Linked DNA regions of Lonchura striata. The protein of the gene in region 2 purifies or fractionates together with the protein of the main gene of each other region. This does not show direct contact. Links are inferred from orthologs where the notes say so. Each region holds a gene or a part of one and is shown on either strand. Other genes may lie near its edges.

Region 1 (10,539 bases), on a different chromosome or scaffold from region 2:
GCCTTGACCATGAAACTGAAAACTGGTAAAAAGTAACTCCCAAAAAATCCAGAGCAGACAAATCTTTGTCCAACAAGATATAACTATCACTGGAGGTGCCTGTGCTGTTGGTGTCCCTGAACTCCGATCGGGTGAAGCGGTCCCAGATGGAGGAGCCTTTCCCGTCCTTCCTCCAGCTGCCTTCCACCTGGAAAGCTCCTGTCCCTACCCCCCAGAGAAAATCCTTGGGGAAAGTGTCATATAAAAACATCTGTGTTTCGCTCACGGGGCTGAAGTGGGAGTCCTTTTTCCACACAGATCTTCCCTCTCCAGCAAGCCCAGTAACCATCCTTACGAAAATTAACATCCAAAAAGCAACAATCTTCTCCAGTCGTTGGCCACACATTGTGCCAGATTATAGTGCCAGTGTTAAAAATCAGATTTCTTGTACTGATGCTGAAAAAATTCCATTCTTTTGCTGGAGTCCACACCGTGCAGACTGTTTTCATTTGCCACAAGCTGCTGGAGTGTCTTATCAAAGCTTCACTAAAAGCTTGTGATTGTAAAAGCCCTGTCAATGATTAGCCTGAACTGTGAGACGTAGAACAGGTCTGAGAATGGTGTAATTTATAGGGAGGTGGCCGCTGTATGACCACTGAGACACCTACCTGGCTTCTTACTGCAGCCTGCCTCAACAATAGAAATGCTAGGAACTAATTATCATCATTTAAAGGTCAGTCATTCAGGTGGGATAATATAGGTCACAGAGGGTCTAAGAAGCTATCATATCCTTTATTTCTTGTGGAGCTGTATTTTGAGGAAACAGTACAATTCACACTACATAATCACCAATTTAAAGGAGATTTATCCTATCTGTGTAATTGGATGGCTGGAAGGGCAGTGCATGATTCCTCAGTCCTACCCTGCTCAAACAACCAACTTCTGCTGAAAAACTCTTCCTGGACTTGTGGGATATTTTGTTGTGAAGAGATATACACACCACCAACTAATTATATAAAACCACAAAGCAAGTCAATATTCCTTTCAAACACAAATGGAACCATTTTTTCTATCCTGTATAAAAGTCTCCTGTACAACACTACACACAGCAGCAGTATAAAATTGACAGGGAACCGTTTCAGTTCTTACAGCATTTTCCTGGATTTCTTCAAATAAACACAATTAGCAAAGATAATTATCCCTGAAATATTATATTTCAGTATTGATTAATTTAACAATTCATATACACAGCTGGAGCACCAGTACAACAAATATTTATACAGCAATTTTGCAGTATAATTTAATCTTTTAACATGTTTAGCAACAGTATGTATGTTGAGATATAGTCAATTTACTCAACACAGTAAGACTGATGCCTGCCATTTTTGTTTTTCTTGAGGTACAGTAATATAAAATATGTCCATATAGAAACAGAAACTGCATGACCACAGCTGCAGAAGAGCCTTGAGGAACCACCATAGAAGTATGAAGTAACTTTGCATGTAAGAAAGATGCACACTGAAATCTGAACATTGAGACAATTAATCAGTGGAGCAGAGTACTCTGCTCAGATGAATTAGCCCTGCTGCCATGTAGGACATGAAAATCCTGATGCACTGCTGGGTTACTGCTGCTTTACTGCTCCTGCTCCCTGTGAGAGCATGCTCGCAGCACTGCAGAATGCCACTGCTATATACCTTTAATTTACCAGTAAAGCTGATTAATTACTACCAATGGAAGCAAATTTATTTATTTTTTGGATAAACAAGAAAACATACATGCTTGTAAGTATTTCTCTACAGAGCCTTTACATTTTCACCACACATGAAGACAAAGCTCCCACTGACATCTGCACTCCAGGTGGTGGGGTAGCCATGCATCTAACATGAGCCTCTGCTCTTACCAGAAATAACAGATCTACATTTCTCAGCCAAGATCCTACCACACACAGGCAGCGTGGGAACAAGAGGAGCAGACAGGGACTGTACAAAGTTGGTTTACAGTACATACTGACATGTTTCTTTCTTTTTCTACGGAACAGCATTTAAAATGCTGTTTGATAGTTATTGCATTAACATAATCTTTCTATTTTGACATTTAAAAGCTCTGATTTTATGTATCCTACTTCACAAAAGAAAACCCAAATACAAGTCGTTACCGATGTCTTACACTTCTAAAGCAGCTAGTCATTGCCATCGTTACCAGATGCTTGAGCTCCAAGTACCCACAACAGCTCTGTAACCCCATGGGCAATCTGTGGGCAAGGGAAAGACAACAGGCTTCTCCCCACTAAACGCAGCAGCGTTAGTACCACTGGCACAAGGATGCAGAGCGTGTTGCACCTGCCTGAGATGTGTAAGGTGCAGCAGAGACTGGTGCTCTCAGGTGCTTGGTCTGTATAAGGTTATGAACTGTATTTCTTTCCTTATTACTGACATGATTGGGAGCATGCTGTAATCATGGTTTGAAAGTGTTTTAATGCCTCAAGCCTCTGTGAATCCAGTTTCTTACTGCTTGGTCATATTTAACTGTTTGGGCTGTAATATAACTTCATGAAGTTTTAAAGAGGAAGCAGCTTAAGTGACGAAAATCGTATAATGACTTGAATTTGGAAGGAGTTCATTACCTGAGCAAAGACTTGGGGAAAAGAAATACTGTTAATCTGGAAAAGCAAATTTAATTTGACTATTAAAGCAAATGTTAATTTGACTGTTCTTAATTTGGAAAGCAATCAGCATGGAAGAGTGAGATGTGATCAGGGGGTGTTAGGAAGTGAGGGTGTGAAAGGAGGAGAAGAGAATTAATGATTCCACTGGCTCAAGTGGCAGAGTCAGGCCAGGCTCCAACCCTGGTGCTGTATGAGGACATACAATATGATGCTGCACAGTGGGATTTCCTGCCTCTGTCCACACACCTAATCAACTTGGTTTCAGAATGAATCAAGATTGGGAGAAGCTGCAATCTGCAGGGCACTTGCTGATACAGATTCAGGAGTTAGGAAGCCTAATGATTATTCAGTTCAATTCTTACTTATCAGATTTCCTTTTCTTCTTTGCCTTTGCCAAGGCATATGATTCAAATTAAGAAAACAATTTTTCACTTGGCTCTTGAATATGTAGTCTCCATGTTTTGGGGCTTGCCTTGAAAACTTGGGGTTTGATCTACAGAAATGATGAACACCTTAGTTGAAAGGACAGAGTTTTGAATGTTAGACTGAGTATCAGTTGACGCTGATATGTAAATGAAGAAAAAGACCTAAAGACAAAGTTCACTCAGAAGAAGTGTAATGTTTACATTAACATCAGCTGCTCAGACCTACTAGTTTTAGGTGCTCAAAGAAGCACAACTTATGTAATCGCCCACAACAGCGTCATGCAAATCCCTTATCTTTACCTTACACAGCTAAAACTGTTTGAGATGGGATCAAGTCTTTCTAAAGACACATAATTGTGATGAATACTATCGAAAGCCCAATGTAAATAGAAACTACATCACAGCTTTATGAAGAATTTTTGGAATTTTCCATCTGTAACAAAATGCTAATTTCTGCTTCTACAATGCCTGAAAAAAATTATTTTCTTTACTAGAGAGTCTAGTAAGAAAATATTCCTTATGGGATTCCTCCAGAATAGAAATGACAATCTAGTAAATTAGTATTTTAACGTCCATTATTACTACAAAAACCCAGAATTTAACATGAAATTTCACTTTAAAAATTGGTTTCAATTCAAAAAAGTATTAATGTATCAATATACAAAAATGTGGAAATAGAATAAACAAGATATTAACAAAAAGAAAACAGACAATTTTTTATTTCTCAGTACAAGAAAATGTAATTTTCTTATTAAAAACCTCCTCTCTCAATAAGCAAGACAACGATTTCACTAATAATATTAACAGTAGGTCTGGGCTTATATAGGGGAAAAATCTCAAGTTCAAGATTTAATATCTCACTTTTTAAAACGTATTTTGGAAAAAACCAACAATATAAAACAAACAAATAGTCTGTGGGTTTCAGCAAGGTAGAAAACAATACTAATAATGCAAAAATTATTTGTCACACTTGCCAATGGAGTGGAGAAATCAATTGTACTTTAGCTACTTTTTAAAAAGTTGTAATTTTAGTTGGGTAATAGGCCTTTTAAAAAACACTACCCATGATCAATTATAGACTCATGGGATTTTGCCTTGATTTTACCTTGCAAAGCACATCATAATACATAATAATGAGTATTCAGTTTTCTTTCCTGTGGTGGAGCAAAGTTTTTCCCACTTCCACTGGTTCCACAGGCATGTACATAGGAACTGAGGTATCCTGTGTCTCCCCACCATAGCCAGGAGTGAATTGTAGGCATTCCAGCTGTTCAGTCTGATGTCTCCACACAGGGTTGAACTCTTGCCTTCCGAGAAACATGAAGACATCATGAACCCACAAACAGATACTCCTCTGCTGGCTGTTACTCTAGGTAGCTTTATCAACTACAAAGAGAGATAACCACCCGCAATATCTCCTCTAGCAGTATTTGAACTGTTTGGCTCTTACAAATATCAGCCATTTAAACTGATCTTTACTTCTAGTATGAGGAACAGCACAGCTTTCAAAGTTACATAACAAGAATTAAATATGTAAATACAAATTTATCACTGGAGATGTTTTTCTAAAGCAATATCGATTTTGTTTGCGTAGCCATTATGTTGAGTGCATATGGAGTAACTTGCAAAACAGGCCAAAAAGCACAGCCTGTGCTGTGGGTCTGTTTACTTGCTCACTGTGTTCCTTATGCAGAAACCCAAATTCACAAGATATACTATTGCTGAAAATACACGGGCCCACCTAGCCATGTGTGTTCATAAAATAAAGGTAGCAGTTTCTGTATAAACAGGACCTTACAGTTACTTAAAGTCCAATTTCAAGAATTTAACAGGAACGGTAATAGGTATCATTAACAGTGTGTGGAATGAGACCATGCCACCAAGCAGGCAGTGAACACAGAGAGAACACAAGCGACAGCATTAGGGATTGCAGTACTTATACTGCAATTATATACATACAAATACAACTACCCATTGAGCTTGTACTCTGGTTGATTTATTTTTTTCTTCGATGAAGGGTCTCCCAAATCACCGGCAGTATTTGTAACGTCACAAATTCAGTTTGTCTTCCCATTCTTCTCCAAGTCCAACAATAATTAGCGATTCAGTAGGTTGACAGAATCTAAACAATATACAATATTTTAGAGTGGAGTAGTTTTTATTTGGCTTGAAAAAATTTATCCCCTTCCAGCGTTCAGTGTGCTTAGTGGAAGAAAATACACACTATTTCATTAGAAATAACTTAGAAAATTAAGCAGTCAGTAGCAGAATCACAACGCTAATTAATTCCCTGGTTTCTGTCGGACTCCTGAGCTCTCCCCAGCCTTGGCGCATGGGAGAAAGTACCATTAGAGGAACCAGACGCTCGGATGGGCAGGAAGCTGGGAACTATCACACGTTTATCACCAGTTTACGAGCAGGAAATGCCTTCCAGCCGCGCGGACCCGGGGCTGGCTGCCCGCCTGCTTTGGGAGCTGCGTGTGCCTCAGTGCCCAACACAGACGGGAGCCATGGCGGCCTGGCACTGCTTCCCCGTCTGCTTTCACCCAGCAGCTCGGCTGTCGGCTCGCCCGCTCTGCCGGACGCGCCCGAGCGCTCGCGGCTCTCCCGCTCTGCTGCTGCAGCGCTGCCGTTCCCGCCGGCACGGGCCGGAGCCCCGCGGCAGCGGTTAAACCCCTCACGGAGCGGCCGCACCCGAGCGGGCCGGCTCCCGGGCGGGCGCCGCTGCCATGAGCCCGGCCCGGGGCACGCCCCGGCCGGCCCGCAGCCCCGCCCGGCGCGGCCGTGACGGCAGCGCGGCGCGCCGGGCGGCGGGAGTTGGCGCGAAGGCGGGAGCATGGAGCCGGCGGCGTCCCGCTAGGCACGGGGAGCGCGCCGCCGCCGCCGCCATGGTGAGGGGCTCCGCCGGGCCGGGGCTGTGCGGGGCGGGGGCGGCGCGCAGGTCCCGCCGGCCGGGCGCGGCTGCGGCGCCGTCGGGGCCCGGCGCGGGCTGAGCGAGCCCCGCGGGCGGCCCCGGGCGCGCAGCCCCCGCGCAGCCCGAGCGGCTGCGGCGGAGCGGCCGCCGCGCCCCGCCCGCTGCGGCCGGGGCTTCCCACGCGTGCCAGGAGCACGGGCCCGCGGCCGGGGAAATGCCCGTGCCCGGAGGGGGATGTGGCTGAGCCCTCCCGGTTTCGCTTTCCCCGAAAGCGGGTGGGGTGTAGGGCGCGGGCCGCGGCTCGTCCCGGGAAGGAATGCGGATGAGCGAACCTGCGGTGAGGTGAAGGCGCTGTGCCGGAGCGGTACTTCTTCCTTTAACCCAGCGGGAACATGCACGAGGCGTTTCTGATGACGAGCTGGAGGGTGCGCAGTATTTGCCGAAAAACAATTCGATGGGAGGAAAAAAAGAGCTTAAAAGTTTATCGATAACGACGCAACCCTCAATAGGATGTAAAGAGATTTTAAGCATAAACATAAACGTGTTCCTATGCTTTCCAAAGTTCCGCTCATGTATGCAGTGACCATAGGATGGTATCCCCTTTTCATTTCTGGCCAAATGAGTTTGCTTTTATTCTGTGCACATCTTTTACTGGCCTAACTACAGGTGTCATTTTGCCAGTTAAGGCGCAACTCTAGTTTTGGACTATCCAAAGAGTTTAAGCTTGTTTATAGTTTATGCCTGGTGCTCTGCAATGGTGGGTGATACAGTCTGAGTCTTCTAGTGTACTGACAGAAGTCTGCCAGCACTAAGACTCCTGACACTATTGAACTGTGATATTTTCATTTGTTTTGAGCTGGCTGATGACTTCAAATTTATGTAAGAGATCTGCCTCTCCCATGCCTCTGCTAACACCTTTATAGAAAAGTGACCTTCTTGGAAGGCTTGCTTCCTCCTTTCCCACCTTCCCAGGACAAATTCTTCCTCTGTGTGATCTTCTGAACGTCACACATCTCAGTGTCTGGGCCTGTCTTAGAAGGGACGAAAACAGCCATCATTTTGGGGAGGGTAAAAGTTGCCTCATCCCATTCCCTTTTCAGTGCTGAAGTGGTTACTCAACCATCTCTGCTGCAGCTGTGGCGGCAATAGAGGCAGAAACACAGTGAGTTACTAATGGTGCAGACTGTTCTGCTTGTGCAGTGACAGCCATGAGCTTATTGCAGTCAATGTCACACCCTTGCAAACTTTTCTCCTGTAGTGCCAAGTGTAAGTAGCCCTGTTAGCTTGATTCTGCAGCATATTCTCATTGTGCTGAGCTGATGTGTGAAGAGTTACACAACAAACTGATTTGCATTAGAAGGGATTTATTTTTTCACCCAGATTAGTGGCCATGTCCCAGTTCCCAAACAGCGAGCTAAAGTGGTACACCCGAGGGAGTGAATGCCCAAGAGTGGGGGTTTCTTGAGTTTCCCCTTCAGAGAGTGACACTCATGGCTGGAGGAGGAGCATCACTTACAACTGTGATACTGTTTGTAAAACTGCTGCAGTTACCACTGTCAGTAACTGTTCATTAGGTGTAGTTACCCAAGCAGGTATTACTGGTTTCACTGAAGTGATAGTATAAATCTGATTTTAGTTAGTGCAATTGTTCTGGAGGTGCTGAATGTCAGAGCTGATATGGGAGCAAAACTTGCACTGAAATAGGCAGAGTAGAAAGAAATATGACTGTTGTGGTGCAAGGCCCTCATTGAGACACACAGAATACCTGAAGTACGATGCATTACTTTCTACTACAGTCATTGAGTTAGGTTGGTGAAGTTCAGTTTTCTATCTTGTATTTTGAGGTGCAGACTGGATTATGTGATGTAACTTTGGAAAATATTCTGCCTTACTAAACACTAGTCTTGTAAAAACACTCCTGGAGTTTCCCAGTCTTTGTACTACCTAACAAATTGGTTTCAGTTTCTGTTTGTGTTACTCTCCCCGGTAAAAAAATAAAGACATACAAATCTTCCAAGAGAGAACTTGCAGCCTGGCATGATTAATTACTGTGGTCTTCTGTTACAGTGTGAGATGGAAGATTTAAGCAGTAGTCAGAGCAGGCAAGGACTAGATGGCAGAGCCATACAACTCTGAGATAGCTGAGCAGCTTTTTAGGCTTTTCAGATGCTAGGCATCAATCACCTGACTGAGAGTGATCAGAATTCTTAGTTACAGCTCCTACCAGATGGAGCTGCTCAAAGTTATTCCTTGCTGGTGCTGTGCTGAAGCAGCCCTGGGGAGCCAAAACACCAAAAATTGCCTATTTTAATTTTAGCCTTTTGGGCAAGGGAACAGCCATGCTGGTTAATATCTCCAGGATACACAGGGCACATTGCTGTGAGTTTTGGGGGTATGTCCTGGAAGGAAACTTGACAGCTGCAGCCTTTCCTCATTGGAACAAGGATAGGTAAAAGCTAAACATGCAGATTTTCCAGCTGCTGGTACTATATATGTATGGATGGCATACCAATAGGAAGGTCAGTCAGAGTATGTTAAATAGATAAGCCCAGGATGGTGAAAAGTGGTCCTGTCTGGAATCTAAGTTGCTATGATAGATACTTATGTGGCTTGATTTCTGCAATTAGTTATGCAATGAATTAATAATTTGTCTGGCATGCCTTTATAAAAAGCATGAAAAATCTGTTTAATGATTCCCGGATAAAACCTTCACTGAAAGGTAACTTTGTTGTTGGCCCTGAGACATGTTTTTCTCCCAAGCAATTCTCTGTTCACTGTGTTATGTCATCAAGGTAAACTTTTCCTCTGAGGAGCAGGATAACTGAAGAAGATTGGTGAATTTATAGCAAAATATTGAAGAGGCTGTGGATAGAAGTCAATCTTTGTACCTTAGGGCTGTGTATTTTAAGTTCTCATTTCATAAACCTTGTATAAATCTTAAAGAATTCTAATATTGTTACCTGTTCTCAAAACACCAAAAGGTTCTGCAAAGCTTCTGCCAGAATTATGTACACTTTACAGCTGATTCCAGAACTGAAATCCAAACTCAAGATCAAGTTAGTAGAAAAGCAGTGATTAATAAATCTTGCAGAAAAGCCTTTGGGGAAGCCTACTGAAAAGCTTTATAAATACATTAAAGCAGACATGGTTTTAAGCTGGGCTAGCTAATGAAATACATATTTCCTGCTACCACGTTTAAGGTGTACTAGTTTGATGACTGTAATTTTGGGATGTATTCATGTTCCCTCATGCAATAATTTCCAGGTAGCACAGAGGTTGGCAGAACAAGGTAGATTTGCAGAGCACCTCAGTTAACAGTTTTTAGTGAAAACAGTAGAATGAATAGAGCCATACTGTTATTCTAAAACTAAATTCTCAAATATTTTAAGCTTTAAAGTAACAACTATTAAAAAAAAGGAGAACTTTAAAGTCACTTTATTTTGCAGTGTTGTATTAAGTATTTAAATTATTTTGCTACATAAAAGATCTAATGATATCTGCTTTTTCTCTTGCCTATGTTACCTTAAGCCTAAAAGGAAGTCAGTAATAATGAGTATAATTGAGTAATTAAGTCCAAATATCGATTTGGAGACTTTTTAAATAGATGTTCTCTTCAGACCTATTAGCTATAGATACTGGCTGTCAAAATTTCAGATTTATGTAGTGCTGCATTTATCTTGTAGGAATATATGTTAAATAGTAGAGCATTGAAAATCTGTGCTTCAAGGCTTGAATTCCATGGATGGAGAAGTGTGAAGTCACATTGAGTAAGAATGATTTTCAATCTACCATTTGTTGAATCCATATTAATACATGCAGTTAAAACACTAAGAGCTTAAATATTTACAGGAAACATGTAGAAAATTGTTTTAAGTGCACTGAATGAATCAATGCATGTCCCATCTTTTGTTTATGCTTTCGAAGTACATGTTTCATTGATTTTAAGCCCTAAGTCCAAACTGACAGGAGTTGATTGTTAGAAAATGAGCCTCAAAGACCCCTTATTATCAATCAGACTTGATGCCAGTTTCCTAAGTGTGCTACTTTCCTTGTGGTTCCCTGTAATAGTAAGGAAGTGCCAGCTGAACTCCATGTTAGGGAATAGCTCCCAGCTGTGTCCAGGGGAGTCCTGAGCCCCACCCTCTACCTGCTGTCTGTGATTTAGGCAAGAAAGAAGGTACTGCCTTTCTCTAAAATGGCTGCTGACCCTGGAGGTAGTGATACCAACCAGGTACCTCTTCCCTCAATTTCTTTTAGAAAAGCTGGATTGCTAGATTTTTATAAGAGTAGTCTGATGTGATTTTGTTTGATAAAGTTGTCTGAAGTTTGAGCTCCAGCTGCTGATTTTATATGCTTAGAAAGCTTTTAATGGCTGTATTGTGGTCAGATACTAAAATAAAGTAACAAAATAGATCAAGGTGTTATTTTTCTTTATTTAAATTTTCTAAGTTTCTTGCTGGCTAGTTTTTTAGTGAGGTGTGAGTTACTGTCTTAAAAACTTATGAGAAAGTGAAGAATGCAGTATGTGCCATTACTTCAGTGTGTCAAGCTCC
Region 2 (10,539 bases):
CCCCGAGATGTGGGATGTGAGGAGGAAGATGGTCAAAGAAAGTGGAAAAGAAGGTTAGACCAAGTCTGTAGAGCACTACAAGGAACAAAAGCAGAGAATCCCAGGACAGAGTGATGGCACCAAACTACGGGAAAAGAGCAGAAGCAACACAAGGAGACCCCAGTGTGGTTCTGCCTGATGCGGTAAGAGTCTCCAGAAGTAACCCTCTGGTTATTTTTAATCCAAAATCCAGGTCCTTGCACAAAGCCCAATCTCTAACTTGCCGCAGTAGAGTCACATCGGTGAACTGGTGACAGTCTCCCTGGCAACAGCATGACGTCAAACAGCAAAATGTGTATTTACTGCAGGTTCCACTAGATGGAGGAGCCAGGTCTCCCCCTTGCTCCGTGGCCTCAGGTGCTCAGAGGGTCAGCACTCCACACCCAAATTCATTTTGTGCAAGGGAAGGTGGAAAAACAGGAAAAAAATATGTCTGGTCAGGCGAGGAATATTCAAGAAGAACAGAATGTGGGTATGAAGCAGCAAGAGGTTTCCTTATTACTTTTGTTCCAAATATGTTTCTTTCTGTAGGAATTTGTGGTTTCAAAAAAAAAAAACTCCACTGAAAACCAAACCAAAGACCACCACGTCCATTGGAACACGTGTGCGTTATGAAACACAAATTCACATTTTAATGGCTGCCTACCCACAGCCGAGTGTTTCTCAACAGAGTAAGAATAAATTCACACATCTGTGCATGTGTTCAAATACAGAAGTAGCAGAAATATCTCTCCAATTTTCTCGCTTGGAGAGCCTAGGGACTCCTAAACTGTGATTTTTGGTGGCTGGTGGCCTACAGATCACTTAAAGTGCTCAGAAAACCGAGGAGGCTGCCTGGCTTTTGCTGCTAGTTTTTATTAGCAGGAGGTGAAAAAAGCAGCTGAAATACCTGCTCACATTTCTTCTATATGTGGTAGATTAGGCAAACCCGTGACCTTTGCCTGCAGCTGCCTCACAGCCCACTCAAAGGCAATAACTGTGTAACAGGAACCCTCAGCTTCCAATAATTTGTCACCAAGAGGTTTTGCCACAGTGCCATGACACAAGACCTGCCCCCAAACTGAGCAGCAGGGAAGGGAGAGAAGGGAAAAAAAAAAAATGCACTTTGAAACAACACACCTCTAAATCACAGCAGTGGGAAGGGCAAGAGTAAGGAGTTCAAGTGAATGTGTAAGTACATAAACATTTCAACATGGAAAGATTAATGACAGAAGTTGAACATAAGTAGCAAGTCATTGTCATAGTGAAAAGGAAGTCCAGCATCAGAGTAATTTGAATAAGATTAACGACAGTAATAACACAACCATCCAGTCTTCAACAAGAACTAAACTGCTCAGTCTTAATTTTCAATACTATTATGAGAGGCTGCCTGAAAAGTTTTTATGATTTGTAATAAGAAGATTGTGTCTCCAGCTTCCTTGTTAGGCAGATTAACCACCTACTGCTCCCATGTAAAGTGGCCAAAAGCCAGCTTCTCACCCTCCTGGGTCCCACTGTGCTATTACAGTCTGAGAAAGAATATTCCTTAATCCTAGGTCTGGCAGTCTGAGATCTGTATTTCAAGGAAAACCAAAAGTAGGGCTAAAAGATACATTTTTAAAATACCAGAACTTTTTTTTTTTTTAACAGAAACACAAAGTACATTTAAGATGTTCATTTTGCCTTAGCTGAGTGTCCCTCAAAAATACCAATTTATTAATATATACAGGAACTTAGAGAATATCCAGCTTGAAATACACACCTCTGCCATTTCATCAAGGCCTTCATGATAAATCTTGCAGTTTGCAGAGCTGGCTGAGTTAAGCTTACCTAATCTAAATTATTACCATCTTCTGTATCAGAAACCTTATTTAGTATCAAATAAAAGGGTATGAAGTTGTCAGAATAAGATCAGTGTTCAAACGAAATACACATTACATCTTTTTTGGCATCTTTTTACCCACACATATTATGACCACAGACCTGTAACATCTCCAAAAGAGTTTAGATTTGAAACCTTCACTGCAGAGTATTTTTGTAAGTCCAAATGAAGAACACAACTTTGATCAAAGTAATGGTAATTTTACCAGAATTTATAGTTAAAGGTATATTTTCAGCTCAGTTCTGTCAGATACCACGTTCTCAGTGGTTTCTAAGCAACAATATAACTGAAAAACACTATAGTTCACAAGCTCTTGTATCACATAAGCAGGGAAATGGGAGAAAGGCACAAAACAGTCTGCTCAGTAGCTATTCTGAAAGTCTTGGTCTCTACAGCAACTGTGGGATTAAACCATAAAATCTGAGATGTCAACACATTTTTTAAACAGCAATTAGCTAAGTAACTATCAAAGGAACAAAGGATTCTTTAGGCTCATTTAACATACGCCCCTCTTAATTCCCTTGGAAAAAGTTAATGAAGAAAGATATCTTTGCCTTTGCAACAGAATAGATTTTTAACCAGAAGAGCAATGTACCTACCACCACTTTTTGTCCAAACTATTCTACAGAAAACTCTTGACACTAATGTGTTGTCCCTTAGCAATAAAAATATATTAGTCCACTTCTCTCAGGATTAAAAAAAAAAATCTTCAGGAAGAGCTGTTTGCTATTAAATTCCAGCCATTATCTGTGTATACATCACTGACAGAGCTGTTAAAATATTTCCTTTTAAGGGCTTCTTATTCTCCCTCCTTTTTAAAAGATCAGAATTGGAAGAGAGCAGGCTTTTGAACATTCTCAGAGGGAAAAATGTTTTAATTTAAAAAACCATTTGCATGAGAACTGCAAGCTCAGCACACAAAAGGGAAGAACACAGTTATTTATGCAACATAACAGATCCAAAGAGATTAATGGCAGGTCAGATTAAGGTCCACCCAGTGCCTCAATCCTTTTTCAGCTAGGCATGGTAGGAATGGGTGCTTGGGGAATTCTGTGCTCTCCTTGTTTTCATACCAGTCTCTTGTCTATGTACTTGGAACAATCTAAGTTTTAGTGCTTCCTGCACCTAACATTCATGCAGAGGATGTATTGTTATGTTTAACAGCCTTTAATGGATTTCTCTTTCACATCTAATTGCTTTTTGAATCTGTGCCAATTTTTGGCACCTACCTCCACAAGTTCCATAATTTAACTGTGCAGTTTAGGGGTGTGGTGCAGCCTTTGTTTTACAACCACTGCCTGACAACACAAGAGCTGAAGAGCATCAAATGAACATAGAAAAAAGAGAGAGAGAGATTCATCATTCTTTATTCATCCCCTCCATGGCATCTTAGACTTTTACAGATCATTATTCCATCTTCCTCCTCCTGTTTCTTTCCAGACAGGAGAAATTAGAATCTATTTGATTCCTCATTATGAGGAGACATAAAATCGCTTCCGCTTACTTACTGGAACTCGAGGTAGAGACCACTCACTACAATAAAAACCTGTCAAGGTTATAAGGTATGGATGCTCCAAACACCATGGAGAGACTCAAGCTTCAGCCATGATGCAGAGTTTATTAAAATAGCAACAAACCCCAGTTTGTATGACACAAACAAAAAGGATTTTGAAGATCTGGAGCATAAAAAAAAATCCCTGAATGTGTCTGACTGCTTTTTTCAGGTGAAAGAGAGAAGCTGAAAGGCTCTGAGGTGACAGAAAAGTGTTTACTTGCAGCTACTCACCCTCATTGTATGGCTGGGGATTGCCAATAGGCCCACCAACCTGATCAGCAGTTTGCAGGACAGTTACATCCATCAGGATCACCACTCTCCTACAACAGAACAGACAACAAACAAAGACTGTCACTCCCTCTGCAGCTCCCATCTCAGGATATCCTTTGCAGCAGCTGAGAAAACCAAGCATTAAGAGGCTGATTCTTTGGATTATGGATCTGGGAGACAAAAGCTTTCCACTGTCAACTAAGCCCTCTCTTGAGGGACAAGTAAACTTGAAACAATATCAAGGATACTTGATATCACTGCATCAAGGGCAGGCCTGAACAGGCACCAAAAATAGCTTGGGAAACCACTGTGTTTTAAAAATAGCTAAACCATACCAGGTTTTTATTCCCTGCTTCAAAAGTTGCTGTCTTCTCTTCAGAATAAAAAGAATACAAACCTTAGTTCATCTCCTGATAGACATACACACAGTTTTTCTGTAATAGTTTCACCTGGATCCCTTCCCACTTTGCAGTACCCATCCCCTCAAATTTTCCTCCTATCCTATTTCCTCAAATTTTAATAAAAGACCAGATCCCACAACACCTAAGTAACAAGATACCTTTATTGTTTCTTTTCAACAGCAGAAAATTTTAAGGAAGCTTTGTACAAGTATTTGGAGTATTCCAGCTGGAGGTGGAGTATTGCAACTGGAAATTTTTTATTACTATATCACTGTACCAGATACATCTGATCTCACTAGTCACATTCTGCAATTTCCTTCTGCTGTGGACTGTCCCTCTCACACCCTAAAACATGAGTATTGTCAGATAATCCCAACCAAAAGCACTTGGCCTCTGCTTAGTCACAAAGCACACACTCATGCAGCTGCCTTTCTGTAGGGCTGAACTTAAAGATTAACACAAATACCTTCCATCTTTCAGGCTGTTGACAATGAATCTGTTAACCTGGCAAATGCACCGGGCTGACAAGCGTTCCTCTTCCACCAGGGAGTTCAGCTGTGTTGCCAACATGAATGCTGCAGGAGCAGAAGGAAAGTATTGAAATAATTCACAATGACAGCTTTAAAAGGGACTGCCACACTTTTTTCAGCCAGTCAAGTATTGCACTGGATCTACAGCTTGACAAAGAAAACAGTGCAACTGCTAAGAAGTCACCAAAACTGACCATGAAGTGTGCTGTATTCATTCCCCACACTTCAGAGTGCAGTGATAGCTAGAACGCTTGTATATCAAAGAACTAAGAGGAAAGTTAAGCTAAATTACTTTTAAATTAATGTTATATGTATAGGTTTCTGTATTTTCATTACATCCTGCAGCAAATTGATTGTTCATATTTCACAATGTTCCAAAAGCCAGACATTTCACCTAAAGGACAAAACGTAGTTACACACTTCAGAGTCTGTGGGCCAGTGAAAAAAACACATTCTCCTTCAATGTTTATTTCAGCACTTTGCATCCAAGTCACCAGAGTAGGAACTTCATCACCCGTAGCATGTCCACACTTAGAAAAACCTCACAGCAGCTTGTCATACTCACAGGAGAGAGTATTCACCCCATCACTCATCAGCACTCGGTAACGTGGGGGCCCAGTTCCTGTGGCAATAGCCCGTGTATTCTGCAGGGAAAAAAAAAAAACAAAAACCAAAAAAACAGGCTGTCAGTTCACATTTCTTCAGAAACTTTTCAAAACCAGAAAGCGACATTAACAAGTGACTTATCTACTCGGCTTTTCTGAGCACTAATATCAACTTCATAGCCCAAGCAATGTAAAACAAAATTAAGAGAATTAAAAGTAGAGCAGCCTTGCTCGGCTTCTTTGCAGAGGAAAGTCTGGCTGCACTCAGGACTCCAAGAGCAGCCACCGAGGGAAGGGACAGTACTCACGATGACTTGAAGCACGGGCTTGAAGACTTCCTCCCCTTGCATTATGGCCTGCAGAAATGAAAGAGACGCTCAGGAAAGCGCCACAGGAACATCTGAGACCCCGCGCCCGACCTACAGCCAAGGGTTTGAGGAGGAACTGCCGTGGAGAAGCCAGGGACGCGGGTGCGGCCGCCACCGCCGGACCAGGAAACCCCCGCGGGACCAGGCCCCGCTCCGGGCCTGCTTCTCCCCTCAGGACCGGGCAGGGCGCGGTGCCCAGGCCCGGCTTTCACCTCGCACCGTGCCCAGGCGCAGGTGCACCCCAGCCCACGCCGGGCCGCTCACCGCGATGGCCCCTTCGCTCAGCCGCACGCTCATGGTGCCGCTGCCGCCAAATCCTCCCGCCGCCGCCGCCGCCAAATCCTCCCGCCGCCGCCGCCGCCACCGCCTCCTTCCGGCGCCTCCTTCCGGCGCCGCCTCCGCCGCGCCGTGCGCCACCCGCCAGAACGCGCTTCTATTGGCTGCCCGGCGCCGTATGGCGGAAGTACCGCTGTGAGCCGTGTGGGGATGCCGCTGGGCGCCGCCATGGCGGCGGTGGCGCTGCCGCCTGTGGCGCAGTGGCAGTGATGGCAGTGACGGCAGTGATGGCAGTGACGGCAGTGGTGGCAGTGGTGGCGATGCCGCTGCCGGTGGCGCGGTGGCTGTGGTGGCAGTGATGGCGCTGCCGGTGGCGGAGTGGCGCGGCCGCACCGCCCGGCTCTGGGCCGCGCTGGACTCGGCGCTGAGGGAGCGGCTGGCGGCGGCTTCGCTTCACGACGCGGTGCGGTTGGGTTGCGATCTGCTCCGGTGAGCCGCGGGTCCGGGGATGGGCAGCGAGGGGAGCGGGGAATGGAGCATCTCGTAATGCGTATAAATAATAAAGGGGGGTGTCGAAGGATGGAGGAGGCTCCGCTCGCTGCAATGGCAGGAAATTCCATCTGGATAAAATTCCACCTTTCTACCTGGCAGCAGGTTGGAGGTCGGCCTTGTCTCCCGGGTTGCTGGCGATAGGACAAGAAGATAAAGGGTTAAATTCACCTGAGAGGTTTAGGTTGGACACGAGTAGGAATTTTTTCGCAGGGAGAGTGGTTAGACGCTGGAATGGGCTGCCCAGGGAGGTGAAGTCGCTGTCCCTGGAGGTGTTTAAGGAAAGATGGGACATGGAATTCAGTGCTGACAAACCTGGCATCGTCACCGCCTGAGAGGTCTTTTCCAACCTAATCGTGTGATTCTGAGGATACGAGGAAGAGCTTCTTCCCTGTGCAGTGACCCCGCCGTGGCACAGACGGAGTGTGGAGTCTCCCTCGCTGGAGATACTCCAGAACCCTCTGGACACAGTGCCACAAGGATCATCCTGCTTGAGCAGGGAGGCTGGACCAGAAACTCCAAACTGATCCTTCCGTGCTGCCCCCGTGTCCCACAGGACCAAGGAGGAGGAGGAGGCAGCCCTGGTGCAGCTGTGCCACCGGGCAGCCACGGACAAGAAGCCAGAGGCTGCGAGCCGGTACCGGGAGCAGGGCAACCAGGAATTCAAGCAGGGCCACTACCAGGCTGCCCTGAGGCTCTACTCCAAGGTAGGTGTGGCAGAGGGGGTCCTACCCACAACACCTTCACATCCCTGAGGGGATCCCCAAGAGAGGCTCCTGCAGCCCCTCATGGTTGAAGGGTGAGGGGCAAGGAGCAGCTCCGGTGAGGGGATCCCCAAAAAGGGGATCCTGCATGCCCTGCTGAGAGGGTCCTGTGAGGGATCCCCCGAGGCAGCAGCAGTTCTCTGGTCTCTGCAGGCAGCATCCCACGAGCTCCCCGGGAGCCCCGAGTTGTCCGTGTGCTTTGCCAACCGCTCGGCCGCCCTCCTCCACCTGGGACACTTTGAGGTAAGTGGGGCCAGGGCAGCACCCACCCTGCAATGTCCTGGATGCCCCTGAAGGATTGGATTATTAGAACAAGAAACAGTAGATCAGATGTGCTTCCCATGCTGTGCTTCCCATGCTGTGCTTAAAGCATCCATAGCTCAACTTCCCTACTTCAGGATGCTTTATTTGGGCAGCAGGTTGGTTATGCACGTGGAACTTGCTGATTAGCACACAGAATTCTTCCATGAGACTTAGGTGGAATGAAAGAGCACAAGCTGGTTTTCAAGCCCACTGAAAAGGCCTTATCTTTGTTCCTAGGTTTGTTTGGAAGATATTGCCAGGGCTGAAAGCCATGGCTATCCAGACAGGCTGCTGCCCAAGGTCCTGCTGCGGAAAGCTGAGTGTCTGCTGCGCCTGGGGAGGTTACAGGATGCACAGGAGAGCCTCAGAGTGCTGGAGAGTAAATTTGCTCTGGATGGTGTCATGACTACAAACCTGGCACGGCTAAAAAAGTTAAGTCAGCTGAAGGTTAAATTAGGTGAGAAAGAGAGGTGTCCAGAGCCTGCACAAGAAGCACATGGTGGCATTCAAGGGGAGCCAGAAATCTGGGAAGAGAACAACAGGATTTCAGGTGCATCTTCATCCCTGAGCTTGGGTTTTGATGCAGAGAGAGGACGTCACTTGCTGGCCTCCCAGGACATCGTGCCAGGACAGAGCCTGGTGAAAGAGGAGGCCTTTGTGAGCGTGCTGTGCCCTGGGGAGAGCCTTCCTCTGCAGGATGGTGACACAGCGTGGGACACTCGAGCCACCAACGCGGATCTTTACTGCCACCGCTGCCTGAGGCAGCTCCTGGCCTCGGTGCCTTGCCAGGGCTGCAGTTATGCCAAGTACTGCAGCCAGGACTGTGCAGACGTGGCATGGCAGCAGTACCACAGGACAGAGTGTTCCCTGGGAGCGCTGCTCCTCACGCTGGGAGTCTTCTGCCACGTGGCCTTGAGGACTGTCCTGCTGGCAGGATTTGCAGAGGTTAGCAGGCTGGTGGCATGGTCCCACCATGGGGACAAGAGCCTGCAGTGCCCTGAGGCAAGCTGCAAGCCTCTCGGTGAGGCAGCAGATGCAGGAGCTGGTAGCAGAGGTGTCCCTGGTTGTGACAGCAGTGGTCAGTACCAGAGCTCTTACCAAGCTCTGTTCCACCTTTTACCCCACACTGAGCAGCACAGCCCTGAGCACAAGTTCCTCTGCTTGCTCAGTGTGGTAGCTATATGCAAACAGCTGCAAGCAGCTGGCCTGGAGGCTGCTGTGCTGTGTCAGGAATCGCCTCAGCAGTGGTCCAAACTAAAGGCATGTGAGAACACCTCAGGTGAATTGTCCCCAGAGCTGAAGACTGTGGCAGAAGCAATGCTGAGGCACGTGTTGCAGCTGCAGTGTAATGCACAAGCAATCACTGTAATGCAGGAGTTGGGTAAGATAAAAAAAATTGAAGCCCTACTGTGTTGTCACAGAATGGTTGGGGTTGGAAGGAGCCTCTGAAGATGATTCAGTCCAAATCCCCTGCCCAGGCAGGGTCACCTGGAGCAGGTGACACAGGAGTGGGTCCAGGTGGGTTTGGAATGTCTCCAGACCTCCCTGGGCAGCCTGTTCCAGTGCTCTGCCACCCTCAGTGGAAAGATGTTTTTCCTCATGTTGAGGTGGAGCTTCTTGTTTAATCTGTGGCTGGTTCTCCTCATCCTGGCACCACAGAAAAGAGTCCATCACTATTCTCTGACACCTGTATTTGTTTATGTATTGATGAGAACCCTTCTCAGTCTTCTCCAGACTAGCCAAGCCCAGCTCCCTCAGTCTCTCCTCATAAGAGAGATGCTCCAGACCCCTCATCATCTCTGTGGCCTCCACTGGACCCTCTCAGTAGCTCCTCTTTCCTGTCCTGAGGAGCCCAGGACTCCTTGCCCATCTTGTCCTCTCCTTGCCCATGTTCTTGTGTGAAGAGATTAAATTCTCAGCTGTAAAAAGCTCCCATTGCAGATGGAAATGATTTGTTTACAATTTAATGGCCTGTCCCATGCTGGCCTGTTCCTTGGTGCACATGCAAGACGTGTTTAGCTATTATTTATTGCAGCAATATACGAGGAACCTTTCTGCTGCTGCCTGCGATCGGTCACGGGGCTCATTGCAGAAATTGTGTGGGTTTGGGAGTATTCAATCTCAACCTGCTTGGTTTTCCTCTGTCTTCAGGGCCTGGAGATGGGGATGTTGTAGATAAGAAGCCTGTGAGGCTGGCAACAGCCTTCTTCCCTGTCCTCAGCCTCCTGAACCACTCGTGCTGCCCCAATACCAGCGTGTCATTCAGTGGGACAGCTGCCACTGTCAGGGCATCACAGCCAATCTCAAGTGGCCAAGAGGTTTTGCATTGCTATGGTAAGCCCCAGTTCTGCATTTGTCTCAAGGCACAGATGTCATTCACCTCCCCTTATCAAGCTGATGGTTATTTATGTCATAATTCTCATATAATTCTCATCTAATGTCAGAGTCTTTGTCCCTTAAGCCCTCTGTTAGACTTTCAGTCTCCAGTTGTGTCCTCCTCAAAATATACCTAGTCTCAATTGTAACAAAAATCCACTTATTCTGATATTAAGAACTGTACTTGTGAGAGATATCTTTTGCAGGGCCTCACTGGTGTAGGATGAGGGTTGCTGAGAGGCAGCAGCTTCTCAACCAGTATTTCTTCAATTGTCGCTGCCCGGCGTGCCTCGAGGAGTTAGAGTCTGGTGTCAAGAGTGTGGTGTCCATCAGAAATTCATTCTGCTGTCCCAAATGCCAGGCCCAAATGCAGGTAATTCTCCATAGTTATGATTGTGCAACTTAATTGGGGTGTGAAGACCTCACTTTGATCCCTGCTCAGAAGCCAAAAGCCCCTATTGAGTCAAGACAGTATCTCACTGTTTCTTATAAAATCAAATAAGCTGATAACAATTTATTTAAAAAATCACTTTGTTTAATGAATACAAGTGAGGAACAATTTAGCATCTCTATAACCCAGAGCTAATGCAGATGGAGAGTGAACTTTGAGGTGAATGTGAGCAGGAATGATCACAAAAGTGA
Region 3 (10,539 bases), on a different chromosome or scaffold from region 2:
TGATAAAACAGCATTCTTGCTACTACAATGTCAAAATCATAAAGGCTTTAAATCAAGTGTGTTCATATCAATTTTATTCATATATACAAAAGTTGTACATACATACAACTCATCTACTCTTACAAGGTACTTTTTTTGATGACTTATCATGAGAAATTGTTATAATACCAAAAATATACTAGAACACATAGAAAACCACAAAGCTGTACTATAAAAGCAGCATTAATGCTACAGTGAAATTCCTATCTAGAGACCAACAGAAATTGTCCCTGAACATTGGCTTCAGTAAATACTAAAGCCCTACCAGCTGAATTCATCCTTACACTAAAATGCAGAACTCCTCCTCCATGACTAGCAAGTTTAACAAACCTGTCAGTTACACTAACATGAAAACTGGTTTTAAATACTCTAAGTAATTTCTATATGCTAGAATTCACTTGGGTTATTCTGTTTGTGCACAAGAAATATCCACAGCACTGAAAACACATAGAAATCCCAGGTTCAGACTTGACAGAAATAAACCTAAGAAGGTGAAGAGATTGTAACTCATTTTTTTCATAAAACACCAAGGAGAACACAATTTTTTTAATACAGTATTTAAATTTCCACTATTATACTCAGAGTATCTTATGGGAAAATCACACCTTTTTTTCCCCCTCTTCTTGCCTCCAATTCAAAGAGTGAAAAAAAAATTAAAAATCTTAGATGACAACATCAGTAGGAAGTTAACAAGTACTTACTGTACCATCTGAACCTAGCTACTGTAACTACAGAGAGAAGGATCTGTGGCCCACACAAGAACCAGTTACAAAAGAGAATTTAAACAAATATGCCTCTGTAGTCTGATCATTGAATGAAGTCAACATTACATTTATTTCTGGACTAATTTCCTCTGTCTATCTTGTAGCATAGATAAATAGGAAAAAAAAAAAAAAGAAGCCACGATAAAAGAATAATAAGACAAGCTGAACAAATTACTCCAAAATTCTCAGTGGTAGACATCCACAATGACAGCATTAGGTTTGGTGATTAGTAGGTTGTTCCCCTCCAAACAGTGAGACTTCAACATCAGTTTTGTAACTGCATACAAACATTTTGGTATGAAATGAGGTCCTCCTACTTGACAGTTTTGAAAAGTTAACAAGTTTACCACACGCACCAGTATTTTCATTCTCTGAAAGAGTAATGGTAGAAGTCATAGCCAGGAGGTTACTAGGACAGCTTTGAGCTACTTCCATACCTTCCTTACTGTTGGCTGGTGAGTGTGGCTGCTATGATGCAAACACTCTAGAGATTTAAGACTCTGGCAACCTGACCTTTGCTTTTAGAGCTTGATGGGCTGCAGCCCCAGCTCAAATACATGACTTACGTTACCATTCATCAGAAGGAATACAGACAGTGCAGCCATAATGCCCTCTATCAAATTCTGCGGCAAAGGGATCCAGTGCTGGTAGATTTTATATTCCTTTTGCATCACTGGCTGCAGTTTGAAAGGGTGTTGCAACAAGAACACAGTTGGTGCCAAAGGTATCCATACTCGTTACCATATCAGGTACTAAGAATATGCCACCAGGAGCCCTGGCAGAACTTTTCACATAAACGGTTGCACAAACTCCTGCAAAGGAAGGTACTTATCTAAGACATAAATGTCATAGAACCCAAAGGAAATAACAGAAGTAACTGTCCTTACTCAGAAAGAGCAAGCAAACATTCTCTGAAACACACAATCTTGATTAGTATTCAGGGATAAACACATCAGAGTCCTACAACAGTGGCAGCAAATTGAAATTTCTATTTACCACTGTATACTGTACTATATGCAAACTAGGATGTAACTATAACATTGCTAAAATAGTCTCACATTCACATTCAATTGACCACCTAAAGAGTTGCAGAAAAACACTGATACAGAGAGATAGCCATCGAGGAATTTTGCTTAATTAAACTGTAGTTCTCACAGACAAAAAAGATGACACCAATTCTTCAACAAGGAGCAGGGGCTTAACCAACAATATCCCCTGTGGGTGTGTAATGATCCCCACGCACAGCCAGCCAAGACAATTTCCCTTATCCTACCTCAAAAGCAGTGCCCTCCCCAGAGCAGGTAAGATCAGCACAGCAGGACATGCTCTTTCCATGCTGTGTGGTGGAATCAGGCTGCAGCACTCGCCCTCCTCACCCAGCGAGAATGAGGCCAAAAACAAGGTTACCATCCCCTAGTCCTGAGCAGCCTCAAAGAAAAAGGGCAGTCAAAAAGCAGGTTGCATAAATTGTGATACCCAACCACAGCCTAATCTCAGCCAGTGCTGAGGTGTGTGCAGGTACTCCACACTGCATATTCAATATTCCCAGGAGAGCAATGTGTACAGGGAACCCAGCTTTCCAGGAAACTGGCCACATCATGGTCCCTCCCCACTACATGCAGTCTTTCCATGGTGCTGTCCAAAAACGGTGGGCTCCACTTTCCTGTACAAAGCTCTGTGTAACTTCTAGACAAACTACTTGCAGCCATTTAAGCAATAAATTCCAGTCAGAGCTAGTGAACTAAATTCTATTTAATGAAAGCCAAGGAAAGCACAAGAGAGTCCAAACTCTGGGGAATGATAGGCGCTAAGCTTTCAGGACAAGAGACCTGAATCCCACTCTGAAGAAATATGTCTAAGAAAAGATCAGGTTTTACTGAAAATATTATATAGCTTTTTAATATTATTTCAGAATATGCCGCTTCTACCCCCCCCGCCCCCCCCCAATAATCTGCAAGGTCACAGTTCACCTTTGAGCTTCTTTCTTTTCTCAAATTCTCCTTACATTCCATTGTTAAGGCAGATTAGAAAAGCTGCACTTCAAGTTAGATCTCATCCTGCATAACAGCTATCTGACAGTGCAACACTCAAAACTTCCACCTCCACTGGAGTAATGCCACTGACATCTGATTTTAAATTTAAGTTCTCATTTAAAAGTCTTCTGGTCTTACAGACACGTACACTGTACACAGTATGTATACAATGCAGATCACGCAGCACAATACACACTATCCTGCTGCAATATCCTATATTGCATATATATCTCATAGACAGGAAAACAGTACATAACAGTATCGTCCTTTGTGCTGAAGGCCTACTCTAAGGACTTGTGCAGAACACGTTCTTAAAGTGAGATCTGAACTCAAAATTCCATAGAAGAATAATAACCAATAATAACCTAATGACAATTTTTCCTCTTCTGCACGATACCAAAGAATTGAATTGATCTGTCCTCAGATGTGACGCACTCAAGTCCACTCATTTGTGCACATGCAGATATAAAACAAAATCTGCTCACTGGCACTGTCAAGAGCTGAAGTAAGTACCTATATATATCCTCTCTGCTTTCCTCCTATCAGCTACCAAGTCAAGTAATTGTTTTCTTTCCAGTATGCATGAAGAGAAACAATTCTACATGCAGCTCTCTGATGGTGATGGCACTCTACCCCAATCAGAGGAAAAGCTTAGCTAACGGCTTCAACAACAAAGCTTGATGCTCCATTAAAGACCAGACCTAAAGTTCACCAGAATTTCAGGATTAATGGTACATTCCCCTTAGCACTTCCAACTGCCTGAGCTGTGAAAAATAAAACAAAGCTGAAGGCTCTTCCTATAACTGCCATATGTAGCAGGAAAATCAAAGGCTAAATATTACATTAAACATTTAATTCTATTGCTATTCCAGGCATATGTATTTGTTCTCAATAACTAGAAAAAATAAACTGATAGAAGACAAAAGACACACCCAAAAAAAGTACAGTAATTTTACCTTTGCTGAGATAAATTTACTTCTCTGAAGAGCAATGTCTTCTACACGGGATCTAACAGATGACACAAAACAGAAAAGAACCCAACCAAAGAACCACAATGCAACAGCACTCCATGACAATCTTAAACATAACAACATCGACTTGAACACAATTACCATTAGTCAGTCAAAAGTGTCAGGAAGAATGACAAGTTTTTGAAGAGCTTCTTTTGAAAACAGATACAGAATTTTTCACACTGCAGCCAAATTGGATTAAATTAATTCATGCTACAGACTACATGTGTGATTTGCACCTTTTATATGGCATATTGGAAGAAAATAAGATTTTGTGTTAATAATGAAGTGAAACCATTCAGAGTTGTCACAGGCAGGGATTCATTGTATGTTTTTTTCACAGCAACAGGTAACTTACTGTACTGCCTCAAGAGGATTATAACTTCACAACTGATCTTATTTGCTTCCAGTATCATAGAATCAGAAAAGGTCTTTTGGTATCACTAAAGGAGGGGAGGGGACAGGAGGAGCATGAGCAAGGATTTTAGCAGTGATGTAAATCTTCACCTCTGTTCCCTTAGACTTTGCCCTTTCAAATTGCAAGCTGACTACAACATACAAAAAAGGGGGGAGAATATGCTCAGAATTACCCTGAGGAAAGCTTTTTTGTATACTGTATCAAAGACATTTTGAAAATGCCTTCTGGACATCAGAAAGAAAGAACACCATCTCTTATTCTAACAATAGAGTTAAACTAAACATCATCCTTCCCTACCAATGACTGGAGTACAGCAACTTGCAGATCCAAGGATCTGCCAATTAAGGTATGGCTTCTCATAGAGAGCTCCCTGGAAGCATGAAGCTACCAAAACTTGATTAGTGGAGGATAAATACAGAAAACCTTCCAATGAAGTGACAGGCTAGCCTGCACTCAGGTAACTGCGCTGCAGTAACACGCTGACAGGCTTAACCGCAACACACACTCATTCTTCCAGTTCAGTTCACAACTGAAATTAAACCAACACTCTTTACAGGGTGACAACAGCAAGTGACAACTCAGCCACAGCAAACAGAGCAAATAGTCATAGAATTTTATAACCCATATTCAAGAGGGGATTCTATCCAGTTCTGCAAGGCAGTTTATGTATTTCTAGAGCCTCATAGCCTTGAAAAACCTATATAGGATGGAGAAAACAAATTCACCATCTCATTTTTTTTTAATGTAAGAAACCACCTCACCTAACCATTTTGGGAAAATTTCTACTTGATCAACCTACAACACATAAACATTAAGATATTTTTTGAAACTACTGAACAACTTACAAACTTAAGAACAAGAAGCTAGCCTGTCAAAGGTATTTTATTGCTTTATAGATATTCAGTGAATCTAATATTGCGTGGAAACTTTTGGCCTTCTAGAGAAAAAAACTATTCAGGCAAACCCGCATTATCTCCGGATTGCCACAGCCTTTCCTTATTTGGCTAACGTTTTGAGATTCCAATCAGACTGCTATGAAGTTCAACATGCACAAAGCATCCATTTTGAGGAAACTTCACAGCCAGTTTCCCGTGCATTCCCCCCCTGACCCAAGTGAAAGTTACCTCCCTTGGTACCAACACCCCTCCCACATACCCACACCAGAACAAAGCGATATGGATAGGGTTTTTTAATGCTCTCCAACGCACGAAAAAAAAATTTAAGATCCCTGTTCCGCTTGAAGTTCAGCTTTCACACTGCGGCGGGAGCCATCGTAACGAAAACAACCCCTTACTGATACGCGTTTCTATATAATGAACAAAACACTGGCTTCCCCTAGAAACCGGAGAAAAATAGATGATCTGTCTCTCAACAGGGCCGCCCGCACACACGAGCGGGCTTTAATCGGCTCAACTACTGCGGAACCGGGGAGACGAGGGAAGCAGGGAGCTACTACCCGGATTCCAGGCAAGGGGCAGCGGCAGAAGCGCCCCCCGAGGGCGGCCCGCTTCTTCTCACCTGCAGCCACCCTCCCTCGCCGGGGGGCATCTACCTCCGGCCCCCTCAGCCCATGCTGGGCCGGGCCCGCACCCCCAGCCCTCCAAGGGAAGCGCTGCCAAAAGGGGAAAACGAAAGAAGGTGAGCGGCACCTCCTTCCCGCCGGAGGAGAGGCCCATCCGCCCATTCCGACGCCCAGCTCGCGGGGAGGGGGTGCAGCCTCCCGCCCCTGCGGCCCCGCCGGCCCGGGGCTCGGCCCGCGGCCCCGGCCGGTCCCAGGCTGACCCTGCCGCCACCTCCCCGCCCCGACACCCCCCAGCGGAGGGAGCGCAGCCGCCTCCGGCCCCTTCCTCCTCCACCTCCTCCTCCGGAGCGGAGGAAGGGGGGGGGGAGGGGGGGCAGCCGGCCGGCCTCGCCCCCTCCGCCCCAGTCCGGCTGGGGTCCCTCCTCGGCCCAGCACCGACCTGGTGGAGAGCGGTGAGCCCGTCCACATTGGCGTAGTTGATGTCGGCGCCCCGCTCCAGCAGTCGCAGCACCTCCTCGGTGTCTCCGCTGGAGCAGGCGGCCAAGAAGACGGCGCCGTCGTCAAACTTCACCTTGGTCTTCTTGCGCTTGACCACGGGCGGCTCCAGGTCGGTCTCGGAGCCGATCCAGCGCTTCAGCTGCTCGTTCCGCTTCTGCTTGGCGTCCGCCATCTTCATGCCCCGCTCGCGCCGGCCCCCTCAGCCACGGCCGCGCCGAGCGTACACTTTATACCGCCACTATCCCACAGCGCACCGCGGCCGCGCGCGCTCACCCGCCCAGGGAGGGCGCGGGGCGGGCGGGGAGCGGAGAGGCGGGGCGGCGGCGGCCTCGTTAGCATAATCCCGCGAGATCGCGGGGGGGCAGTGCGGCGGGAGGCCGCGCGCGAGCGGGGCGGGGCCGCGCGGGCCGAGTGGGCAGAGGGCAGAGGGGAGTGGGAGTGGGCGTGGGCAGAGGGCAGTGGGGAGTGGGCAGAGGGGAGTGGGCAGAGGGCAGTGGGGAGTGGGCAGAGGGCAGAGAGCAGTGGGCAGAGGGCAGAGGGCAGTGGGGAGTGGGCAGAGAGCAGTGGGGAGTGAGCAGAGGGCAGTGGGGAGTGGGCAGAGAGCAGTGGGGAGTGGGCAGGGAGCAGTGGGGAGTGGGCAGAGGGCAGTGGGGAGTGGGCAGAGAGCAGTGGGGAGTGGGCAGAGAGCAGTGGGGAGTGGGCAGAGAGCAGTGGGGAGTGAGCAGAGGGCAGAGGGGAGTGGGAGTGGGCAGAGGGCAGTGGGCAGAGGGGCGTGGAGTGGGCAGAGAGCAGTGGGGAGTAAGTCCAGCCCCGCCTCCGTCGGGCCCTTTCTAAAGGTGCTGCCCATTCCCGACGGTGACTTCTGTCACCTGCGGCAACAGGTGGGTGTTTCTGCCTGCGTTGGCAAACGAGGCATATGGAACCACTTGACTGGAAAAGAGAAAATAAATGGAGCAACATGGTTGAGGGTCATTTGTTTTGGGAGGTTAGATAGGACTACCTCAGCACAGTTTGATCTACAAAAGCACCCCCTTTGCCTCTACACTTCAGGGGGCCTCTAGGGAAGCTGAGGAGAGACTCCTTTTCAGGAACTGTAATGATAGAACCAGGAGTAATGGGCACAAATTACGCTAGATGTTTTTGTAAAAAATTCTTCATTGTGAGTGCGGTGAGACACTGGAACAGGTTGCCCAGAGAGGTTGTGGATGCCCCAGCCTGGCAGTGATTAAAGCCACTTTGGATAAGGCCTTGACCAGCCTGGTGTAGAGGGAGGTGCTGCTGCCCATGGCAGGGGATTTGGATTAGTTGATTTTCAAAATCCATTTCAACCCCATCACATTCTGTGATTCTATCATTCTGCATGGCAGTGGACAAAGCCCTGTGATTGTTGTCCTTTTCACTTACAGTTCACTTCCATGATGTCAAAACTGGGGAGTAGCACAGTCATCCTTTCTCTTGGGAGAAAACAAGTAGTTAACAAACCACACAGGATTTGAAGATACAAAGACTAAAATGTTTTTCTTCAGATTTGCAACTTCTAGGAACCAAGCTATAACAGATAATAAAGTTTTTTTTTCTATGCACAGCATGCTTTCTTTAGCTAAGCAATATGTATTTGGCTTTAAATGGAATAATCTCTGGGATAAAATGTGGTTTTGAACTTACTGGAAAATAAGTTTTATTTTCAACTAATTACAGGAAACCAAGTATAGTTTGAGAGAGTCACCAAACCTCATACACTTCAAATTTTGCATAATTTGTGCTTTTCTAATTACAATGTCTCCTTCTTACGGTGGGCAATTGTGCAGCTGACTAGGACTCTTATTTCCATTTATATTGATAAAGATGTCCGTGACATTTCACAAGAAGTAGTAGTTGCAAGATACCTGCAGCAATGTGCTGTTCTTAATGTCTTTCAGAAGAGATTTTCATCTGGAGATATTTGCATAATATCCATCAGACTTACTTATACAGCAGTGCATGAGCTACATGCACTGACAGTTTGCAGGCGTAATGTGATTGAGAACAAAAGACAACATCTGGTAGTCAAGAAGAAAGATTTGCCAGAAAAAGATTTGCAGTCTAAGTAGGTGGATGAAAGATTACCTGGCACCTAATTTATACCTTCCCTTTGGCAGCCTGTGTCTATCCAGGGGTACATTTTAGGTTCCTGGATTTGAAAATATGGCTGACTGCAAAGCACAATTCAAGACCAGTCTTTGCAGTGTTTATTACTCACACGAGTGATTTGGCTGTGCTTTGGCATAGCACTGGTACCACCCAGCATGGCATGGACAGTTACCAGCTGGGAGCTTGGCTGCAGCACCTGACTCATGTCTAAGGAGGGAATTTGTGCAGGTTCCAGCCTCCTGCTGTAGTCTTGTCCTTGTGGGCAAACTCTCCCAGGGCAGACTCAACACAGTGCCATTTCCTAAGGACTTGAAAACTATACCCTGGAAAAAGGCAATGCAAGACAAAAGCTTCTTTCCCCTGCCCCAGATGTCTCAGATATTTTACAAGTCACCTCCCCATCATGCTTCTCTCTCAGTTGGCTGTCTGAAAATTTGACTCTTCAAGAAACCTCATATCTGAAGAATGTTTGATTTCAGCAAACAATATTTAAATATAGTGCTTTATTAGCAAGAAAGTAATTCTAGGCAAATAGATAGGCATATGTTCAACATGCACTTTCTCAGGAATTTCAATGTCACGGAGCAAGTTTCTAAGTTTTCATTAGAGTTCCAGTCCCCTCTGCTTGATTTCAATTTTCCAGTTCAGCTTTTTCTTTCTGGTCAGGGATCCTCTTTTAACTCCAACTTGCTCTTCTTGTCTCGTTAGTGAAATGCAGAAGTTCTACAGCTCAATTTTATTCTTAAATAAAATATTTTTTTATTCTTAAAACCCAGATTTCATATTTTCCTTTTATTCTTCTTTCCAGGAAAGTTTTTTCACTGATTCAGCTCCAGCTTTTCAGAGAACTTCAGCAAATATTTTTCCATTCACTGCAGCTATTTGTATGCTCCAAATTCTTGACATTATTTTCCTTGACTTTTTAATTTTTTTGGATTGCACATCATGGTAGGGAGTTATGTTTGAGGGGTTTTGCAGACACTACAGGCAAGATATAATTCATTTGTACAGTCAGCTGAAACTCAGATATTCCATATATATTGAGTATGAATGTCCTTTGGAGATAGCTATGTGCTCTGCTGGAAATTATATGTAGTTCTTAAATCTAGCAAAGCATATGGTCTTCCTTAAGCAAAAAGTAGAGTTGTAATTTCTGTAAACTAGTTAATCTCTGCAAGTGTTCACACTTCAAGAAGGGAATAATAATACTAATAATAATATTTTTAATTTCTAATTTTTTCCTACCTCATATCTCTAATAAATGTTTGCAATTTAAATAGCAAAGGCATATTGGGTCATATTCTTTACCCCATCACAGTGCCATTCTACCCCATGTCTAATGTCATCCCATGTCATTGGAAAATCAGTGTAGCTGAGAGATGAGACGGTCTAGAGCTTCTAATTCCATACAAATTGAGCTAAACATATATAAATACCAATAATAATTTTGGTACAAATATGAAATTATTTTCCCATTATTTGCCTAAGCCTGGAGTGTTAAATTCATTTGTGTAAAGGGTTAGAGCAAACATATATTAAAGCTGTTTTTGAAGACCATGTTAAAAGTGAGTATCAAATTAGTTCTAAAAGAGTCACTACTGCAAGAGAGTATCACAAGAGTGAATTAGATAACTGCATAAGTATGCATGTTTACAATAATCATAGTTGCTAATAAGAGGCACTTAACCATTTGAGCTACATTATGAGTGCAACTTAAGGATGTGTCCTACGTTAGATCTAGTTTTATCAGGCTTTTTCGGTGTATTGCTACCAGACTACCCAACACACTAGGTGTGCTGTTAAATCCTTTGTTTGCATGTATATACACAATCCCAAAGGTGATTAAGTATGTAATTTTCCACATACAAATACTAGCACTGAATTCAGTACAGCTGTTTTTCTGTAGAGGTGATGATGTAAACATTTCACAGAGATAGCATCTATGTGTATACATGTTTCCAGTAAATTTAATGACAGGCTTCAAGTGATCAATACAATGATTTAGCAATGAGATTGCTATCAGTGTGTTTTCTGGTTTTCCATCCTTTCTTAAAAGCACTACAACCATTGTTCAAAGCTATTTCGCACAGGCTTCTAGACAACAAATGTTCACAGATTAAGCTTT

What was found.
Region 1: the proteins of RPA1 (region 2) and RFC1 purify together in Homo sapiens (affinity purification with mass spectrometry; 3 studies listed by BioGRID, with this or other methods). This does not show direct contact. The link is inferred for Lonchura striata from reciprocal best matches to the Homo sapiens genes RPA1 and RFC1.
Region 3: the proteins of RPA1 (region 2) and PPP1R12A fractionate together in Homo sapiens (co-fractionation; 3 studies listed by BioGRID, with this or other methods). This does not show direct contact. The link is inferred for Lonchura striata from reciprocal best matches to the Homo sapiens genes RPA1 and PPP1R12A.

What each region holds. Positions count from the first base shown.
Region 1 is NC_134606.1:22,848,843-22,859,381, reverse strand, and holds the start of RFC1 (replication factor C subunit 1), read left to right. Parts: upstream 1-5,801; coding exon 5,802-5,963; intron 5,964-6,278; exon of another isoform or gene 6,279-6,378; coding exon of another isoform or gene 6,379-6,411; intron 6,412-10,539. Other genes in the region: KLB (beta-klotho), read right to left, coding at 1-385. UniProt on the Homo sapiens protein: Subunit of the replication factor C (RFC) complex which acts during elongation of primed DNA templates by DNA polymerases delta and epsilon, and is necessary for ATP-dependent loading of proliferating cell nuclear antigen (PCNA) onto primed DNA.
Region 2 is NC_134622.1:6,993,991-7,004,529, reverse strand, and holds the start of RPA1 (replication protein A 70 kDa DNA-binding subunit), read right to left. Parts: upstream 6,005-10,539; 5' UTR 5,927-6,004; coding exon 5,894-5,926; intron 5,618-5,893; coding exon 5,570-5,617; intron 5,301-5,569; coding exon 5,222-5,300; intron 4,702-5,221; coding exon 4,593-4,701; intron 3,776-4,592; coding exon 3,687-3,775; intron 1-3,686. Other genes in the region: protein-lysine N-methyltransferase SMYD4, read left to right, coding at 6,264-6,394, 7,011-7,161, 7,372-7,461, 7,759-8,902, 9,673-9,855, 10,104-10,270. UniProt on the Homo sapiens protein: As part of the heterotrimeric replication protein A complex (RPA/RP-A), binds and stabilizes single-stranded DNA intermediates that form during DNA replication or upon DNA stress.
Region 3 is NC_134607.1:48,667,920-48,678,458, forward strand, and holds the start of PPP1R12A (protein phosphatase 1 regulatory subunit 12A), read right to left. Parts: upstream 6,575-10,539; 5' UTR 6,463-6,574; coding exon 6,226-6,462; intron 5,934-6,225; exon of another isoform or gene 5,914-5,933; intron 1-5,913. UniProt on the Homo sapiens protein: Key regulator of protein phosphatase 1C (PPP1C). Mediates binding to myosin. As part of the PPP1C complex, involved in dephosphorylation of PLK1. Capable of inhibiting HIF1AN-dependent suppression of HIF1A activity.